2 linked regions of the Canis lupus familiaris genome follow. The protein of the gene in region 2 binds, or shares a complex with, the protein of the main gene of each other region. Links are inferred from orthologs where the notes say so. Each region holds a gene or a part of one and is shown on either strand. Other genes may lie near its edges.

What was found.
Region 1: the proteins of GIPR (region 2) and GIP are in contact, whole or in part, in a cryo-EM structure (PDB 7RA3), measured with the Homo sapiens proteins. The link is inferred for Canis lupus familiaris from reciprocal best matches to the Homo sapiens genes GIPR and GIP. Residues at the interface, in NP_000155.1 of Homo sapiens: Gln30, Thr31, Ala32, Leu35, Tyr36, Trp39, Tyr68, Trp71, Leu88, Trp90, Arg101, Arg113, His115, Asn120, Gln130, Arg131, Leu134, Glu135, Leu137, Gln138, Tyr141, Tyr145, Arg183, Ile187, Arg190, Asp191, Pro197, Gly198, Pro199, Tyr200; in NP_004114.1 of Homo sapiens: Tyr52, Ala53, Glu54, Gly55, Thr56, Phe57, Ile58, Ser59, Asp60, Tyr61, Ser62, Ile63, Ala64, Met65, Asp66, Lys67, Ile68, His69, Gln70, Gln71, Phe73, Val74, Trp76, Leu77, Leu78, Lys81.

The regions. Positions count from the first base shown.
Region 1 is NC_049230.1:25,120,758-25,124,994, forward strand, and holds the start of GIP (gastric inhibitory polypeptide), read right to left. Parts: upstream 2,841-4,237; 5' UTR 2,836-2,840; coding exon 2,750-2,835; intron 428-2,749; coding exon 281-427; intron 1-280. UniProt on the Homo sapiens protein: Potent stimulator of insulin secretion and relatively poor inhibitor of gastric acid secretion.
Region 2 is NC_049222.1:110,618,616-110,623,071, forward strand, and holds the start of GIPR (gastric inhibitory polypeptide receptor), read right to left. Parts: upstream 3,040-4,456; 5' UTR 2,964-3,039; intron 1,744-2,963; 5' UTR 1,688-1,743; coding exon 1,616-1,687; intron 1,225-1,615; coding exon 1,125-1,224; intron 679-1,124; coding exon 571-678; intron 1-570. UniProt on the Homo sapiens protein: This is a receptor for GIP. The activity of this receptor is mediated by G proteins which activate adenylyl cyclase.

The sequences.
Region 1 (4,237 bases), on a different chromosome or scaffold from region 2:
CGTGGAGATCCTCTGGGAGCCCCTACATCTTCAATGATCCCTCTCCTTAGAGGAAGGATTAGAAAGAAAGGGTTGGAAGAAGAAAAGGATTGGAAAGCTTAGTCCCACCCCAGACTGGGCCAGTGCCCGAGCCCCAGTCAGGACCATGGTGTTGCCCAGCTCCCCATCAGTACCTAAGCCAAAGTTACCACCCAGAATCACAGGCCCGCTTGGCGTCTAGTCTAAACGAAGGAAGGTATGGCCAGCCGGTGCAGAGGAGGGAGTGTGGGCATTAACTCACTCATTCTTCTTCCCCTTCTGGGCCAGCAGCCAGTTCACAAAGTCTTGTTGGCGGATCTTGTCCATGGCGATACTGTAGTCACTGATGAAAGTCCCCTCGGCGTACCTGGGGCCTCGAGGTCGGGAGCCACTGACCTTAGTGTGGAATCTGAGGAGCAGGGAGGAGAGAGAGGGAGAAACCAGGCTCTACACGAAGGGAACCACAATGCGGGGGCAGGTGATTGTTATTGACCAGAGGCAGGTGTTTGAAAACAGCCACCTCCCACCACCCCCATTTCTTGGGAGTCAGATTTTTGTGGGATTTTTTGTTTTATGGGTTTTGTTTTGTTTTTAAAGATTTTACTTATTTATTCATGAGAGACACACACACACAGAGAGAGAGAGGCAGAGACATAAGCAGAGGGAGAAGCAGGCTCCATGCAGGGAGCCGGATGTGGGACTCGATCCCAGGTCTCCAGGACCACGCCCTGGGCCGAAGGTGGCACTAAACCACTGAGCCACTCGGGCTGCCTGTCTTATGGGTTTGTTTTTTTTTTTTAAGATTTTTATTTATTCATGAGAGACACACAGAGAGAGGCAGAGACATAGACAGAGGGAGAAGCAGACTCCCTGTGGGCAACCTGATACCAGACTCTGATCCCAGAGCCCCAGGATCACAACCTGAGCCAAAGACAGATGCTCAACTGCCGAGCCACCCAGGTGCCCCTTGGGAGTCAGTTTTATGGAGGCAGCCCCTTGTCTATGCATCAAGCCCCTCGGGCTTTATCCTCAGCTCAAGAGCCCACTTTCTGCATCCTCAGTTTGTGTGACTCTGGGTTCTGGACAAACAGGGATCAGGGGTTCCCTTCATCCCAAAGGATGGGTTCCCTTCATCCCAAAGGATCTCACTTTCCTCCTTTACTCCTCCTGCCTTGGCTCACCCCGATTCAAGTCTTTATTCCCAGTCAGTATGAACAATAGGAGCTCTTCCATAAGGGCACTCACTGTATGCCAGGTCCTCTCTCAGCCCTTTACTGCATAGACTCATTTGATCTTCGAAACACCCCTATGAGGTCAACACTATTTCTATGCCCTTTTTGTGAATGAGGAAACCAAGGTACAGAGAGATTAATCTAGCACTCCATGAAGGTGGGGGTCTGGGCCCAGATCTAAGTTTGCAATATATATATATATATATATATATATAAAAGAAGCAGGTTCCATACTTCTCCCTCTGCCTGTGTCTCTGCCTCTGTGTCTCTTATGAATAAATAAAATCTTTTAAAAAAAAATAAAGAGGGGAATCCCTGGGTGGCTCAGTGGTTTAGTACCTGCCCTTGGCCCAGGGTGTGATCCTGGAGTCCTGGGATCAAGTCCCACATCAGGCTCCCTGCATGGAGCCTGCTTCTCCCTCTGTTCTCTGCCTCTCTGTGTGTGTGTGTGTGTGTGTGTGTGTCTCATGAATAAATAAATAAAATCTTTAAAAAATTTAAAAAAAATTAAAAAAAATAAAGATTTTAAGAGAAGGGGAGTGAGCACAAGCAGGGGAGGAGCAGGAGAGAGAAGCAGGCTCCCTGCAGAACACGGAGCCGATGATGTGGGACTGGATCCCAGGACCCTGGGATCATGACCTGAGCCTAAGGCAGATGCTTAACCGACTGAGCCATCCAGGCGCCCCTAAGTTTGCAAATTCTTTTTTTTTTTTTTTTATTTTTTATTTTTTTTTATTTATGATAGTCACAGAGAGAGAGAGAGAGAGAGAGGCAGAGACACAGGCAGAGGGAGAAGCAGGCTCCATGCTCCGGGAGCCCGATGTGGGATTCGATCCCGGGTCTCCAGGATCGGGCCCTGGGCCAAAGGCAGGCGCCAAACCGCTGCGCCACCCAGGGATCCCAAGTTTGCAAATTCTATGTGATGTTGACTTGTACCTGACAGCCATGCCTCACATCTACATGACTGGATTTAGAGGGCATAGGACTAGTCCTTGCATCTGACAAGGCCCAGCTGTTTACCCAGACAAGTATCTCTTGGTCCTCCAGAGAACAAACAGAGCCCCCTCCCCCATTTGCTCATGACATTCTGCTCCCCACCGCCCCCCACCCAAGTGTCCCTGAGAGTCTGCCACTGGCCTGGGTGGCTCTTTGCTTTCCTTGGGAGCCTGTGTGTTCCCTGAGGCATTCTGCACACGTGAATGATGAATGGCTAAGGCTTTCATCAGGAAGGGAGACCCTGTTGTACACTTCAGACACTTAACCCCGGAGAAGTCCTTCCAGAGATCTAACCACAGTTTGTCCTGTGGCAACAGTAGCTCAAAATAAACCCTCTGGATTCTGTCCTTACTCCACACACAGACTGCCGGCGGGGTTCTCCCTCCCGCTTCTTTCCTCTTGGCTTGGGGTTCCTCCCCTTCCCACCTCCCCCCTGAACGCCAGAAGCAGCTCATCCTCCCCAGCCTCCTTCCCTGTGCCCAACCCCTCCCCTGCACCCCTACCTAGAGTGACCGGCTGCCTTCTCTCCCATCACCACCACCAGGAGCAGGGTCGCCAGCAGGAGACTGAAGATCTTCATGGCCACCATCTTCCAAGGGTGATTTCCTGAGCCAGGAGAGAAAAGGGATGAGGATGAGGGAAGCACTGTGTCCAGGCACAGCCTTCAGGCCGCCCAGGTACTGCTGATGCCTCAGAGCCTCTGTGGCTTCTGCCGGCGGGGGGCACTGAGCTCCGGGGGTCAGGGCTTTTCTGAGAGGCTAGAACAACACTTGGGGGGCTGCCGGGGGGGCTGGGTGTTGGAGTCAGATACTAGAAGGGTCACGGAGCCTGGCCAGGAGGAGGACCTGCTTTTTGTTGTGAAGTCTGAGTTGGGGAGGGCAGGGGGTAGAGGTCCAGGCAGAAGAGAGCAGCTAAGACCCCTGACAGCCTCCTTCCTGGCTCCAGTGGCTGGACGTCAAAGGCATGTGGCCTGGCGAGACTCCCCATACAGCCCCCCAAAGTCCATACCAGCCCTGCTTCCAGCTGTGGGATTGGCTGTCACCTAAACCATCACAGCTCTCTCACCCCAAGTGAAAGGCACAGGTAGGACCATTCCATCCTCTCCTCCCTGGGGTTCACTATCTCTGTGCAGGGAAGCTCTTCTTGGGGTCCTGCTGCAGGAAGATGAGGTCTGGTGGCCCAAATAGCTCTAGGTCTAACTTTGGTCTTCAGAGCTGGGAGGAAGGTTCCTTACTTACTGCTCTTCACCCCTACAGAAGACCCCCTGGATGAAATGGGACCAGGCCTCATTCATCCTCCTGCCTTTGTCACTAGGTGTTACAGGAATCCTGAGAGCCGCCTTCTTATTTCTTAGAATGTGAGATGCAAGGATGCCAAGCATCTCTGGGTGCCAAGACCCACTGCCTCTCCAGTATCCTCTCCACCCATCCCCTGTCCCAGCCGCTCTCTCACCTGGCTTCCTTTCCAGCTCTTCCAGAAGGACAGGGCAGGGGTTTCTTCCTCCTACCTTCTGGTCCTTTGGAGCCTGTCTCAAGAAAGTCTGCTGTAACTCCTTTATATCCAGGCATCACACACCTGCTGATTAGCCTAAAAGCGTCTTATCTCAAGAAATTAAGTCCACAGCTCCCGCCACATTAAGTCCATTTTACGCGTAATAAAGTTGCCCTTTCCACTTGAACTGTGCTAATCGATGATTAACATTTGGGTATCTCCAGTTCCCTACGGGGGTAGGACGCCTTAAGTGTCCTCTTTCTTCTCCCCCCTCCTCCCTTCTGGGCACAGGGCCCTGTATTCTTCTAGCCTCACTTCCTTTCCAGGTGTCCCCAGTTGGAAAGGGGGCCCTGGGTGAGGGCAGACTTGGGTCGGGTGGCACTAGCTGGGGAAGGACCCCTCCCATAGGCAACAGGCTACCCTGGGGTCCGAGAGAGTGGGGCACAGTTGTTTGAACCCCAGCTCTGGATAGTGGCACACAGCTTTGTCAGTGAGGCCAT
Region 2 (4,456 bases):
TGTCTCTGTCTTTCTTTCTCTGTGTCTCTCATGAATAAATTTTTTAAAAATTTTTTTATTTATTTATGATAGTCACATAGAGAGAGAGAGAGAGGCAGAGACATAGGCAGAGGGAGAAGCAGGCTCCATGCACCGGGAGCCTGACGTGGGATTCGATCCGGGGTCTCCAGGATCGCGCCCTGGGCCAAAGGCAGGCGCCAAACCGCTGCGCCACCCAGGGATCCCTCTCATGAATAAATAAATAAAATATTTATTAAAAAAAAAAAAGGAGCTGAGGCATAAAGAAGTTAAATAAATTGCTCCAGGCCAAATAGCCAGTTAGGATGGAAAGACCAAGACGCCCAGAGAAAATAAGAACTCCGTGATCCTCAGAGAGATGGAGAGAGAAGGGGCACTAAGTGGCAGAGCCAGGGTTGGTCAGGCAGACGGAGACACCCAGCCAGAGAGGAGCAGGAGATCAAGTGTAGGCGAACTCGCAGTGGGGGGGTGGGGAGGGGTGCAGTGGTGTCTGGGGCAGGGTTAGAAGTTAATTTTGTCAGGGAAGGGCCTGGGGTCCAGGGGGCACCTCACCGTGACGGTGCCACGGCAGGTACCAGGGGCAGGACGCACGGGCGGTGACGTTGGGTGCAGCGTAGTCCCAGCAGACGTACATATCGAAGGACGCGTTACAGGCGAGGTCTGGGGTGGGCGTGGAGGCCGGACGTCGGGAGGACAGACTGAACATAACCCAAGGCTTCTCGGCGGATCACAAGCAAGCTCCTCCCTAGCCCCGCCCACCTGGAGTGGCCCGGGGCCGGCCCGGCCGCCGCCCCTCTCACCAGACCCCAGGCTCCGCCCCACTCGCGCCCTTCGGCCCCGCCCACCGCGTGCAGCCCCGCCCGAGGCCCCGCCCATTTCAAGCTTCTTCCCAGGCCTCTCCCACTGGTCGGAGTTGCGTCCCTCCGCGCATTCAGGTCTAGGTCCTTCCCACCCAAGCCAAGCATCACTCAGGCAGCTCCAACCCAGCCCACCCCTACCCCAGACTTCCTTCAGGCCCCCCTGAACCGTCAGCCCTAGCCCGACTCAAGCACACCCCCCTCGGCCCTAGTCCTTCCCGCACCCCCGGTCCCCGCTCCCAGTCACACCTGCTGGGGGGTCCACGGCTTCCAGTGTCTCCTGGCACTCTCTGCGGTACCGTTCCCAGCGCTGGTACAGCTCCCCCGCCGTCTGACCGACAGAGTCTGTCTATGGAAAGAGAGCAGGGAGGACACCCCACACACACTCGACCGATCCCCACTCTCAGGCAGCAGGGTTCAAGTGGGCTAGAGACACGCTACAGGGATTTGAAGAGGTTGCCTTGTTTTGTCCGGGAGTCTTGGGTGGCTTAGAACTCTCTTCTGAGTCTGGAGGGGTGCCTAGACCAGCGGAGTTGCTGTGGAGGGCTGAAAACTTTCAGCAAAATTAGGGGAAGGAGTGGCTGGAAATCATCAGGAGGATTTGAAGGGGAAAGAAGAGAGACTGGAAACAACTTGAATCTAGGCAGTCTTAAAACTCTCTCTTGCAGCGCGGGGAGACTTAAAACCGTCCCTAGACCTCCCTTCTAGCCTTGAACTCCTGCGGCTCCTCGGGTCCTCACCTCCGCCCTCCCGAGCAGCGGCCTCCACGACGAGAGCAGCAGTAGCAGCCGCCAAGGCGGACAGATCGACATTGCGAGGGCGGCAGGGCATGGGGGGCGAGGGCCTGGTCGCGTAGGGGCAGTCCGGCCTGAAGGGTCAGGAGGCAGAGTCAGGAGCCTCTGACCTCCGCCTCCAGCCCCAGCGCCACCCGCTCTGAGCTTCAAATAAGCGGACTAGGAGGCAGGGGCCCCCTCCCCAGGCCCCCAGAAGTGATGACTCGAGGGGTGGGGGAGGGTGGGCGAGGCCAAGATCCAGCACGTGATTCCTAGGCCCGCCCCCAACTGTTGCTGGGGCAGCAGCGGTGGAAGGGGGGTGTTTGCTGAGGGCGCGGTTGCCCTAGAGCTGCTCCCAGCGGAAGCGCTAATGTCACCCTGAGTCTAGACCTAGAGGTTCTGGAGAATCTGGGGGCTGCCTTGGAGAGGAAGGCATAGAAACTGTCTGGCATGAGCTAGAAATAACCGTCGGAGTTCCCACTCTCCAAGCCCAGAGGGTTTTCAAATGGCAGATCGGGAGGATCCCGACCTTATAAAACTTGACCGCTGTAGGGGCACCTGGGAAGCTCAATAGGTTAAGGGTCTGCCTTTGCTCAGTTCATGATCCCGGAGTCCTGAGATCAAGCGCCATATCGGGCGGGCTCTGAGCTCAGCAGCATCTGCTTCACTCCCTCTGCCCCTCCCCCTATTTGTGCTCTGTCTCTGTCTCTGTTTCTCTCTCTCTCAAATAAATAAATAAAATCTAAAAAAAAAAAAAAAAAAAAAAAAAACTTGCCCGCTGTGGATAAAGCCCAGAGTCCATGGAACAACCCTCTCCCTAGGGACTAGAGAGGAGCCAGACTCTGGGCTTAGGTTTGCAGGGGCCCACATGCCTGAAAATCTGTCTAACCCCAGTAACTCCCCCACAGCACCATGTGAAGAAAGGGGGAAGCGGGGAAGATCTCAGAGGGAGCCCCAGAAATGGTTAAGACAGAAATACATAAACTGAACAGAATGAGATAACACAGCAAGAGACCAGAAAGCAGAAGACAGACAAAAATGTGGGTTAGGAAACAAACAGGGGATAGAGACCTGGTGAGAGACACAGAAAATGATCCAAGGAGAGATAAACGTAGAGAAACCGAGCCATCCAGAGGCTAAACAGAGATCGGAGACACGGAGACAGAGATATGAAGAGACGGGCAGACGGAACGATGAGGGGCACGGAGAGACAAAGAGACAAAAGCATGAGCTAAGACACAGAGAAAGAGGGGACCCCGGGGACTTGAGTGGGACATGAGGGCAGGGGAACGAGCTGGGATGGGGAAGCCCTCACCTGTCCCCAGATCTTCCCTTGATCACTCACTCGGGCTGCTGCTGCCTCTGCTGCTGCCTCCACTGCCTCTCCTGGGCTCTGGAGGAGTTGACAGCCTGGGGTGGTGGGAGAGGGCGGGGCCAGGGAGCAGGAGGGGGAGCTCTGGGGCTGAGACCCAGAGTCTGGGGCCAGCAGCACGTGAGGATCATTGCCGCTCAAGGTCACGTGGAAGAGCAGTCACAGAGCCGGGCCCACAGTCTTTCACACTGTCCCACCCATCCCACCCATCCCACCCAGCCATGGCACACAGCCAGAGTCACGCAGCCACACACAGTGTCACACGTAGTCCCATTCACCAAGCCATGGAGAGGCACAGCACGGAGGCACACACTGAGCCTCACTGCAAATATATTTTGCTGATGGTCACTTACAGTCACGCAATCCACAGTCACATTCAGAGAACCAAGGTCTCTCCCCTACAGGTTGACAGGCATCCACAGTGACAGCCGTGCAGCTGGAGTGCAGGCTCCTCCACTCACAGAACAACACAATCACCACTTCCCACAGTGCTGATGATCCTGGGCAGTCACACACGCAGTCACACACGCAGTCACACAATCATTAGGTCCCGTCACAAACGCCTTCTGTCTCCTCACTGGCAGTCACCTCTAGGTCCCCAGCATCACTCAGCAAGCTTTGGCATAGAGCAGAGGCTAGAAGAATGACCGTCGATGACAGACACGCACCCATATGTGGTCCCTCACAAACATGTAATCCTTTGGTGCCATCACCTGTGACACACAAGGTCACACAACCATACCCATTACCACTCTCACAGTTCACACGGTCACCAGAGTCTACAGTCATATCCCAACAACATACCTTCTCCAACTGTCACTAAAGTACACACTCTCGGTGTCACGTCGTCACGCTGTCACCCTCACAGGGTCACATCCAGAGCCATGAGGATACGGACACTCAACTCTGCACCCTGTCCTCACCCGCACTCATGAGTCCTACATAGTCACACACACATCACATGCCACGATGCCACCATCACAGCATCCTACGCATCCCCACAGATGCACAAAGGATCACACACCATCATGTTGTGATCACACTCGAACCCACAGCCTCACTAGGTCTCACGGTCACGGTCACCACCAAATCATACACCTTCCCACAGTCTCCATTTCCAGTCTCTTCCTTTGCCCTAAAACACAGGGAACATCTCATCTACATGAGAGGGGAAGCCTTAAAAACCGAGTTCCAGTTCTCAGTGTTCTCATCCCCAGTAGTCTCATCCCCCACTAGCACAGATTCGTGCACATTAGTCAACTAGTAACACTCAGGAACACACACTCCCCTGGGACCTAGGAGATAAGTGGGGCAGAGGTGAATATGCCCACTTTGCAGAAGAGAAACTGAGACCCCAAGGCACAGCCAGGGCAGGGAGTAGGGGGGATGCGTACTGCACCAGGAGACGGAAGGAGACAAGTCTAGGAGAGCGGGGT